2 linked regions of the Sus scrofa genome follow. The protein of the gene in region 1 purifies or fractionates together with the protein of each later gene. This does not show direct contact. Links are inferred from orthologs where the notes say so. Each region holds a gene or a part of one and is shown on either strand. Other genes may lie near its edges. The genes, in order: COX6B and CHCHD4.

What was found.
Region 2: the proteins of COX6B (region 1) and CHCHD4 purify together in Homo sapiens (co-immunoprecipitation; 3 studies listed by BioGRID and IntAct, with this or other methods). This does not show direct contact. The link is inferred for Sus scrofa from reciprocal best matches to the Homo sapiens genes COX6B1 and CHCHD4.

The regions. Positions count from the first base shown.
Region 1 is NC_010448.4:45,090,263-45,094,734, reverse strand, and holds the start of COX6B (cytochrome c oxidase subunit 6B1), read right to left. Parts: upstream 2,907-4,472; 5' UTR 2,752-2,906; intron 1,137-2,751; exon of another isoform or gene 1,023-1,136; 5' UTR 1,012-1,022; coding exon 906-1,011; intron 1-905. UniProt on the Homo sapiens protein: Component of the cytochrome c oxidase, the last enzyme in the mitochondrial electron transport chain which drives oxidative phosphorylation.
Region 2 is NC_010455.5:70,415,605-70,420,142, reverse strand, and holds the start of CHCHD4 (mitochondrial intermembrane space import and assembly protein 40), read right to left. Parts: upstream 2,818-4,538; 5' UTR 2,646-2,817; coding exon 2,624-2,645; intron 1-2,623. Other genes in the region: TMEM43 (transmembrane protein 43), read left to right, coding at 3,155-3,166.

The sequences.
Region 1 (4,472 bases):
AAGGATTTGGCATTGCCATGAACTGCAGTGTAGGTCCCAGATGCAGCTTGGATTCCATGTTGCTGTGGCTGTGGCTTCAATTCAACCCCTGGCTGAGCTTCCATATACATGGGTGGCCCTTAAAAAAAAAAAAAAAAAAAAAGAGAGAGAGAGAGCAAGCAAAATACATGCCACAGCATCAATGAATCTTGAAAACTGTTGAAGAAATCCAAACACAAAGGAATACACACAGTATTTATAACATTCACAAAGAGACAAAAGCGGTGATAAAACCAAAATGTGATCGCCCTCTCAGTGGGGAGGTAGAGCGCTATTTTCAAGACAGGGAGTGCAGTAGGCAGGGAAGCTCTGAGTGCTGGCAGCATCTAGGTTTCTTCCAAATTACAGTTTCATGGGGGAATTCGAGTTTATTAATTTACTTGTACATTATGTTTTATGTTCCTCCTGTATGTATGTACATTTCATGCACGCATGCACACACGCGCACGCGCGCGCACACACACACACACACACCATCGAGGGGGAGCTTCGTGGTGGTCTAGTGGTTAGGACTCAGAGCTTCACTGCTGCAACCTGGGTTTAAACCCTGGTCTGGGAACTGCGATCCCATATCCCACGTCAAACTGTTGCATGCCATGGCCAAAAAAAAAAAAAAAAACCTTTTGTTTTTTACAAAACAAAACACAAAATCATTGCGGGAACCAAAGTTTGTGCCACTGGCCCAGATCTTGAACACACAGCTGGTGAGGAGGGGCGTGGGCCCTGCAAGGTAGGAATGTTCAGAATAAAAGTGGCCTAGGATGCAGAAGGACCCCTAGGAGGAGGCAAGAGGTAGGTGACTTGAGGTGTGGGACCAGGGGAAGGTCAACATTGCCCCCGCCCGCTCCAACCCATGTCCTGCTCACCCAGGTAGTTCTGCCAGCAGTTCCTGGTCTGGTTCTGGTTGGGGAAGCGGCTGTCAAAAGGAGCTGTCTGGTAGTTCTTGATTTTGGTCTGGATGTCTTCTGCCATAGTGCTGACTCCTGGGGCCAAAGAGAATGGATGCTGGTAGGGCTCTCAGTCCACTCAGGCCCAGTGGAGGCTGGATGCAGAACAGGCTGGGTGTGACCAAGTCAAGCCAGGCCAAGGCCCCCTTCCTTTCAACATGCACACAGAGATGAAAGGCAGGCAAGAACACGCAAAGTGTGGAAGTCACAGCAGGGTAGGGGTGGGGGGCTCAACTCTCTGGTAAAATCAGGCCTTATCTGTCCCAAAATAACACTAGTTGACACTCACCGAGTGCTGACTATTGGCAAGGATGCTTTATTCCTACAGTCACTCTAAAAGGCAGGAACTATTACTATTACTGTTTCACAAAGAGACAGGGTGTTTAAGTGACATCCCAAGGTCAGAGAGCACACATGCCGTGGAGCTGCACTCCATCACTGACATAACCTACACTGCAGGGGTTCTTAATCTTGATCCCTGCCATGAACTCCCCAGGGATCTAATGAACCCTTTCTCAGAATATGTTTAAATGTATTTAGAAGTTGCAAAGGATCACAAAGAAAACCGTTATATGCAGCTGAGGACTTAACTACACAATTTCGAAATAGTCATGAGTGAGGGAGTCCCCGTGGTGGCTCAGTGGTAACGAACCCCACTAGAATCTATGAGGATGTGGATTTGATTCCTGGCATTGCTCAGTGGGTTAAGGATCCTGAGCTGCTATGGCTGTGGTGTAGGCTGGCAGCTGCAGCTCCGATTCCACCCCCCCAGCTTGGGAACTTCCATATGCCCTGGGGGCAGCCTTAAAAAAAAGGAATGAAAATGATATTTTGTGACATCTACAACTGTAATGGGATATAAGATGACCTGTGGTTTTAATGATGCTAATACGACTATGGCCACTGCCTCCACTCCTAACTGAAGGAAACGCTACATTTCAATAAGAGATTAGTAAAAATATAGATGTAAAATTTCCCCCATTCAAGAACTAGAACCCCTTGAATTCTATGGATTCTGTGAACCCAGAGTTAAAAACCTATGACAGAATTTCTAATGAGGTGATACAGTTTTCGTCAGGGAACCTGAAAGAAATTGCCTCTATTCCAGATGATTAGAGAAGTCCTGGGATTACATAGAGGTGAGTGGACTGATGTTAAATCCAAGCGACTCAAGGTAGTGGTAGGGATCGGGGCCATCGAAATGGAGTCTTTCCGGGAGCGGGGCTATCTGGAACTCCAGCAGCTGGGACACACACACGATCGGAAGAATTATTTTGGAAGCGAGATCCACCCGATTTCAGGAGTGCGGTAGACTGGGAGTACCGCTGTGGCCCCTCCAACGTCTAAGGGGGTGGAGGCGCCAGACACCAAGAAGCCATGCCACAGCCCAGGCAAACCACAGGGGGTACATCTGGTGATTAAAAGCCCTGCAGTGCAAACTACTAGGTCCAAATCCTGACCTCTGGCTAAACCGCTTACTGTCTGAACTGCGGTTGCCTCCCTGTCAAAAAGGGATAATCACAGGCCCTACCTCATAGAGCTGGAGGGAGGATTAAATGAATCAATGTAAGTCGCCTGGAATGTTCCAGGCATTGAGGAAAAACTAAATAATCGTTAGCTACGACTATTAACTTGAAGAGACCCCCCCGGGCCCGGGAGGCCTGCTGCCGTCGGCCGGAAACCTCATCTCATTCCCTGGGAAGCAAGGGTCGGACTCTTGAGTCCCCAGGCTGGGATTCCAGGCCCCCGAGGCCTCGACACTCACCTAGAGTCGCGCCTGAAACCGCTGGAAGCTCAATGTGACCCTCAGCAAAGACGCCGGCGTCGGACCGGAAGCGGAATAAAGACCGGCCGGAAGCGGGACGAGACGCGGTACAAGGGAGTCTTCCGCGGGGCTGGGCTGGTCCAGAAGCACTTAGGCCACGCCCATGCAAGAGAACTCCGACCTTCTATTGGTCCGAATGCCTGTTCGTCCTCACTCCCAGCCCAATCGTGAGCTGAAGCGGTTCCAAGCCGTGGGCGCAGTCTCGTCTCCTCCCCGTCCTTACCGAGAGAGAAGGGCTCAGGGTCCTGTCCTGGAGGGAGAGTCCCCCTGTGGAGAAACTATCCCAACGGAAATACTCTTATTCATGCAATAATCATTTATTGAACGTTTACTCTGTGCCAAATATTTCTATTAAGTGTTGGGACGCATAGCTGAAGAAAACACAAAAATCCCTATTCTCGTTATGATTATTACTGGGTCAATTGGAAAATTGGAATTTCCAGGAGTTCCCGTTATGGCACAGAGGAAAAAAATCCAGCTAGGAACCATGGGGTTGCGGATTCGATCCCTGGCCTTGCTCAGTGGGTTGAGGATCCAGCGTTGCGGTGAGCTGTGGTGTAGGTCACAGACAACGCTTGGATCCTGCGTTGCTATGGCTGTGGCTAGGACGGCGGTTGCAACTCCAATTGGACCTCTAGCCTAGGAATCTCCATATGCCACCAGTGCGGCCCTAAAAAGCAAAAAAGAAAAGAAAATTGGAACTTCCAATTGGAAATTCAATTACTGGGGATTGCAAACAAATCATTCTTAAGGAATTAAAAACAAGCCATTCTTTCTCCCAGGGTCGTTCATCCCTATATGAGGAATGCCCAGACTCCATCTTCCTGCTTATTATCATGTTTCCCCAAACCTTAGAAGGCACATTATGTTTTGGAGGCTGCGTACCAGGCCTACACCATCCTAACTGCATGGGGGACGGAGAGCAAGTAGCCACCCAATAAAATACTTGGCAGTGTCAGGCTTAACTGGATTGGGGGCCTCCTGCATTCTGTGTTCATCAGGATTGTAATTATTTGTTTACATGCCTGCATTCATCCCTTTCAATGAGATCTTCCTAAAGCCCAAATTTCTTTGTTTAACCCCCCCCCCAAACCCTCTAACAAAGTCCAGGCTCCTTAATATGGTTCACAGATCCTTTTTTTTTTTAATTCAATGAATTTTATTATATTTATAGTTGTCCGCAGATCCTTTGTGAACTGACCCATGGTCCTCCCTCCAGCCACGTTGAGATATATATATATAAATATATACTTTTTTTGTTTTTTTTTTTGTCTTCTTGCCATTTCTTGGGCCGCTCCCACAGCATATGGAGGTTCCCAGGCTAGGGGTCTAATCGGAGCTGTAGCCACCAGCCTACGCCAGAGCCACAGCAATGTGGGATCTGAGCCGCATCTGTGACCTACACCACAGCTCACAGCAACACCAGATCCTTAATGCACTGAGCGAGGCCAGGGATTGAATCCGCAATCTCATGGTTCCTAGTTGGATTCGTTAACCACTGAGCCATGACGGGACTCCGTCACATTGATATTTTTGGTCTTTGAATAGTGATGTGAGGCCTACCTCCAGGCCTTTGATTATGCTGTTTCCTCCCATTGGAACATTCTTTGCCCACCTGACTTCTCATATCAGCTATTTTTTGGTCCAGGAAGTCTTCCCCG
Region 2 (4,538 bases), on another chromosome or scaffold:
CTACCTCAGGGCCTTTGCACAGGCTGTCTGCCCCCTAGGAACACACTGAGATCCCCTCTCAGCCACCTTCTCCCTGCCTTCATACCTCCTGCTCAGATGCCATCCTCCTTCATCCTTTCCCATCACCATTTACCTGCTTTTTCTCACCTTACAATTACATATTTGTTTACCACCTGTCACCCCCACTGAAATTGAAATGTCTGCTCCATTCATTGCAGCACCTCCAGAGCCTAGAACAGTGCCCAAGACATAGTGGGTAATCGGTATTTGCTGAAGACGTGAATGGAGAAATTGAACTCTGGGTTCGAACATGAAGACCTCCGCCCCAGCAGAGAAAGGTTATCACCATGAAGCAGGTTAGAGAAAAAAACCCTTGGATGGGTGGTCTCATTTTCCCCAGGACACGTGTGGGTCTTTACACATCAGAATCTCTCAGCACATCCAACCCAGGAAGGTTCCCCCCCCAGCCCCCACCACACCATGAGGGCAGATGGCCCACCTATGACCAAAGCCATGCCTCAGTGGCTGGTACTTCACAGGTGCTCAATAAAGTTTAGCTGAACAGAAGCGGGGTCAACATTAGAAGAGAAAGAACAGTGCTACCCATGGCCAGGGAGCTAGTCTGGGTCCACACTGCCCAACACCTTGAACACCCAGCTGAGGCCTTTACTCCAAAGGCTGGGATAGGGGCAGGGCACCCCTGAAGTCAATGTGATTCACTTAGAACAGAGGGAAAGCGTATGCACGGGTTCACTGGGTAAAGGTGCCAGGTGCCAGGGGTATGGCCCATCTAATGCTCTCAGAAGACAGGAAATGCTGCTAGAAGACAGGAAATAAGATGACCAAAACAAATCAGGTAATTTCATAGTTTAGGAAGTGAAAGACACAAAGGGTCAAGAAAGACCTTACTGAGAAGCTGAATCTTAAAGGATGAGGAGGCAGCCGTGGGAAGAGACCTGGAGGAAGGATGCACCCAGGCAAAGGGAACAGCTGAGGCCAGTGTGGCTGGTCAGCAGTGGGTGATTAGAGACCAGCTGGGGACGGATCAGGTGGGGGCTCCATCACACAAGCCCTCAATCAGGCGTTTGGGATCACTTCTCTAAGTCCCATGGGAAACAGAAAGAATTGCTAGGTAGAAAAGAAGTTTTTTAGGATTTAGGGGACCATGGCATGGATAATATTAAAAACTAGGGAAGGCCTAAAAATGAATGCTTTCAGTTCTCACCCCCAATACTAAGAGAGATCTTTGACCCAGGAAAAGATATGACCTACCATTTGGTGGTAGATAAACACCTGCCTTGGACTTCCAGAAATCCTCAGGGACAAGGAGGGTCTGTTTATCTGCATGGCCTCATTAAGCCCACAAGGCTCAAAAAAAAAAATTGCTAAATGATGAAGTAAAGTAGACTCAGAAGGCAATAAAAAACAAGAGACCTACTCTCTAACAAAGCGGTGAGGGCAGAGGACTTTTGCTCAAGGCAGAGTTAAATATCAATCAATTAAAATAGCACTCATTAGAGACATCGTGAGTATTATGACTTTATGACCCAGGGAAGGAGGGTTCTGGAAGCAGAATGGGGTACTGGGGGAAAGGCCTAGCATTTTAGATTGAGCTGTTTTCCTACCTAAGCATGACCTTGGGTAGATCACCTCCATCTCTGGGCTTAAGGGTCCCTCAATGACCTGAGGGAGCTAGACTATTCATTAAAGAATTTCAGGGAGAGTTCCAGCTCTCTCTGGAGCTTTAAAGTCTCAGGTGTTCACCATCACCCTCACCTGGCACTAAAAAGGTGCTTCATGAATATGTGGAGAAGGAAGGAAGGCCTACTTCTCATTTTACAAGACTGAACACTGGGCCTTGGAGGGGCTGGGTGACAGCTCAGGGACAAAGAGCCAGTTAGCGGTTGTGCGCGGAGGCCCTCGAACCCCTGGCCTGGAGACTTCTGGGGTTCCAGGAGAGGTAACAAGGAGAGAGACCATAGACAGAAACCTATTTAGTTTTGTTTTTTTGGGGGGTTGTCTTCCCAACGGAAGGCTCCCTGGAATCCACTGGTCACCAGGCTGGGCAGCTCTGGAATCAGACCGCGGGGGTCCAACCCCAGCTTCCGGACTTGCCGGCATCATGGCATTAGCCTAGTCACCTCTGGGTCGCTGTTTACTCTCGGGAAATGAACAGGGCCTGGCTTAGGGCGCACCAGCGCCTGACCGGTCCCCTCGGGCGGTACTCCACGCCGCAGCACAGAGCACGCCGAGGGCGACTTTCCAGGACTGTTGACGGGCGGCGCAAACCGGAACACGTGGTGTGGGTAAGCGCCATAGTAACAATTAATACCTATAAACTCTCCGTTAGGAGCCAGCGGCAGCGCGCTCGCACTCCTCCGACCCCCAGGCCTAATTTAAGAGCTCTCTCACGTGGTGGTCCCTCAGACGTCCGGGTTCGAGCCTCACGGTGACCTTGGACCGCCTCGCTTCTCCCCGCTGCCCATCTGTAAAGCGGGGATGGAGACCCGACGCAAGGGTCCGAGGACTATCTTCCGCACCAGTGGTGGGGCGCGGGGGCCGCACAATCCGCCTGTTCCCTGCAGGCCCTCGTAGGCCGTCTCTAGGTACCCCGCCCTCCTACCTTCCTGCCGGCAGTAGGCCATAGTGCAGCCCGGCGCTCCAACCTCGCGGTGATCGCGGTGGCTGCCTCACGCCGTGACCTCTCCCCGGCGAGGCGGGCGGCTGGGAGGCCCGTGCGGACCCGCCCCCTCCAGGCCTGCCCTCCGCGCGCCTGCCTCGGAGCTCCTAGCCCGGCCTTCTCAACCGGGAACTACATTTCCCAGCAGGCCGCGCGCCGCCGAGCAACTCCCTAGACAGAAGGAACTGCAATTCCCAGAATGACCTGCAATGCGCAGGTGCACCAGTGAGGTACCGGGTAGGTTGCAACTTCCGGAGAGGGCACCAGACTACGTTTCCCAGGAGGAGGCGCGGCGGGCGAGAGCAGAAAAACCGCGGCTTGCGGGGCGTTGCTCTGTAGCGCATCCTAGGGCTCCGGGCTTCCCGCGCCTTTTGGCCGCCATCTGGCTGTCGAGAGGTGGCGGGATTCCGTGGTGCAGCCGTAAGTCCGTTTTCTTGCTGAGCCGAGTGAGGCGGGCGGTGACCGGATCCTGCCATGGCTGCGAACGTGAGTGTCCCCGGCTTCGCCGGCCACACCCAGGCTGCCTCGTCCACTCTCCCGGCCGCCCGCCGTAGCCCCTTGTGCGGCTAACCGCCTCCGTGCAGCCGGCCCTTCCTCCCTCTCGCTCCCGGGTCCGCTCCTTCCGGCAGGGCAGCCAGGTCGTCCGTACGTGCGGTCAGCACCCGGTGGTCCACGTCCTCCTCGGGGGCGCGTGGTGGTAGAGACGCAACCTCTGGAGGTGTGGCTCTGTCTCCGGGTCCGCTTATGTGCGGCGCCTCCGCGCAGCTCCTTCTTTCCTTCTCGGTTCCCGCCTGCGCCTTTGGGATTCTCACATTTGCGGACTTGAGAGTTGGACGGGACTTCAGACAGGAGTCCCCCATGGGGTGTGTGGGGAGGCAGATATCGCCCTGGTGAAGCTGTCCAGAAACGCACTGTCCTAGCAGGCACTGAGGTCCCCGCTCCAGGGAGTATGTAAACCAAGGCTCTGATGTTGTGCAGAGGGGCAGACTAGTTTGGAGCAGAGGAGTTAGCATGACTGGGAGAGGGAGCATTTCCCTACTGCTGGCCCCTCGTCTTCCTGGCTTTGGCTTGGTTGGAAAGGCCCTGGCTGAGGGCGGTGCCCTTGGAAAGGCAGCTGCTTTTCTCCCTGCTTTTCTGAGGAACCTTTCTATTTAAGCCCCACATTCATTCAACAAACCGAGGGGCACCTGCCAACAGGGTGCTGGGTGTGGGAGAAGCTGGTGACTCATGTTCCTGTCTTCTGCAAAAGTGCCTCTGGTGCCAGCTCGGAGCCCAGCCAGCTGAGGCACTCCCTCCCTCCTGCTTTGGTGGCATGTCCTAACCACTCTCTCTCTTGGCCTTTCACACCCTCTTAACAGGCCCTTCCTCTGTCCCCAAGGTCCTCTCTGCCTTCCACACCCCCTGAGAAGCCAGGGTTTGCCTCACCCACAGCCCCAGCACACTTTGCCTGAGTTTGCATTGTCTGGGAGGCCAAGAAGCCTTTGAAAAAGCACCTAGAAAAGCCTCAGAGGTGGTCCGGGAGACCCAGGGTCTTCCCTCGGCAGAGCGCAGTCAGGAGACCGCCAGCCCCCCCTCCATAATGACCACTTTACAGATAGGGAACTTTCCCAGCAGAGAAAGGCCCTGCCCAGGGTTGCAGAGCCAGCCTGGCAGGCTACATCTTGGGTGAGCGTAGCAGGCTTTGGAGTCGGGCTGACAAGTGGTCTTAATCTCTTGAGGTTTATGTTTCCTCATAGGATCAGTTAACCTGAAATTTAAAGGAAAACCATGCTTAACACACTTAATGCACTATAGGTTCGTACTTAATACATTAAAAAAAAAAAAAAAAAGTAGAGTTTATCCGCACAGTCCTAGTGGA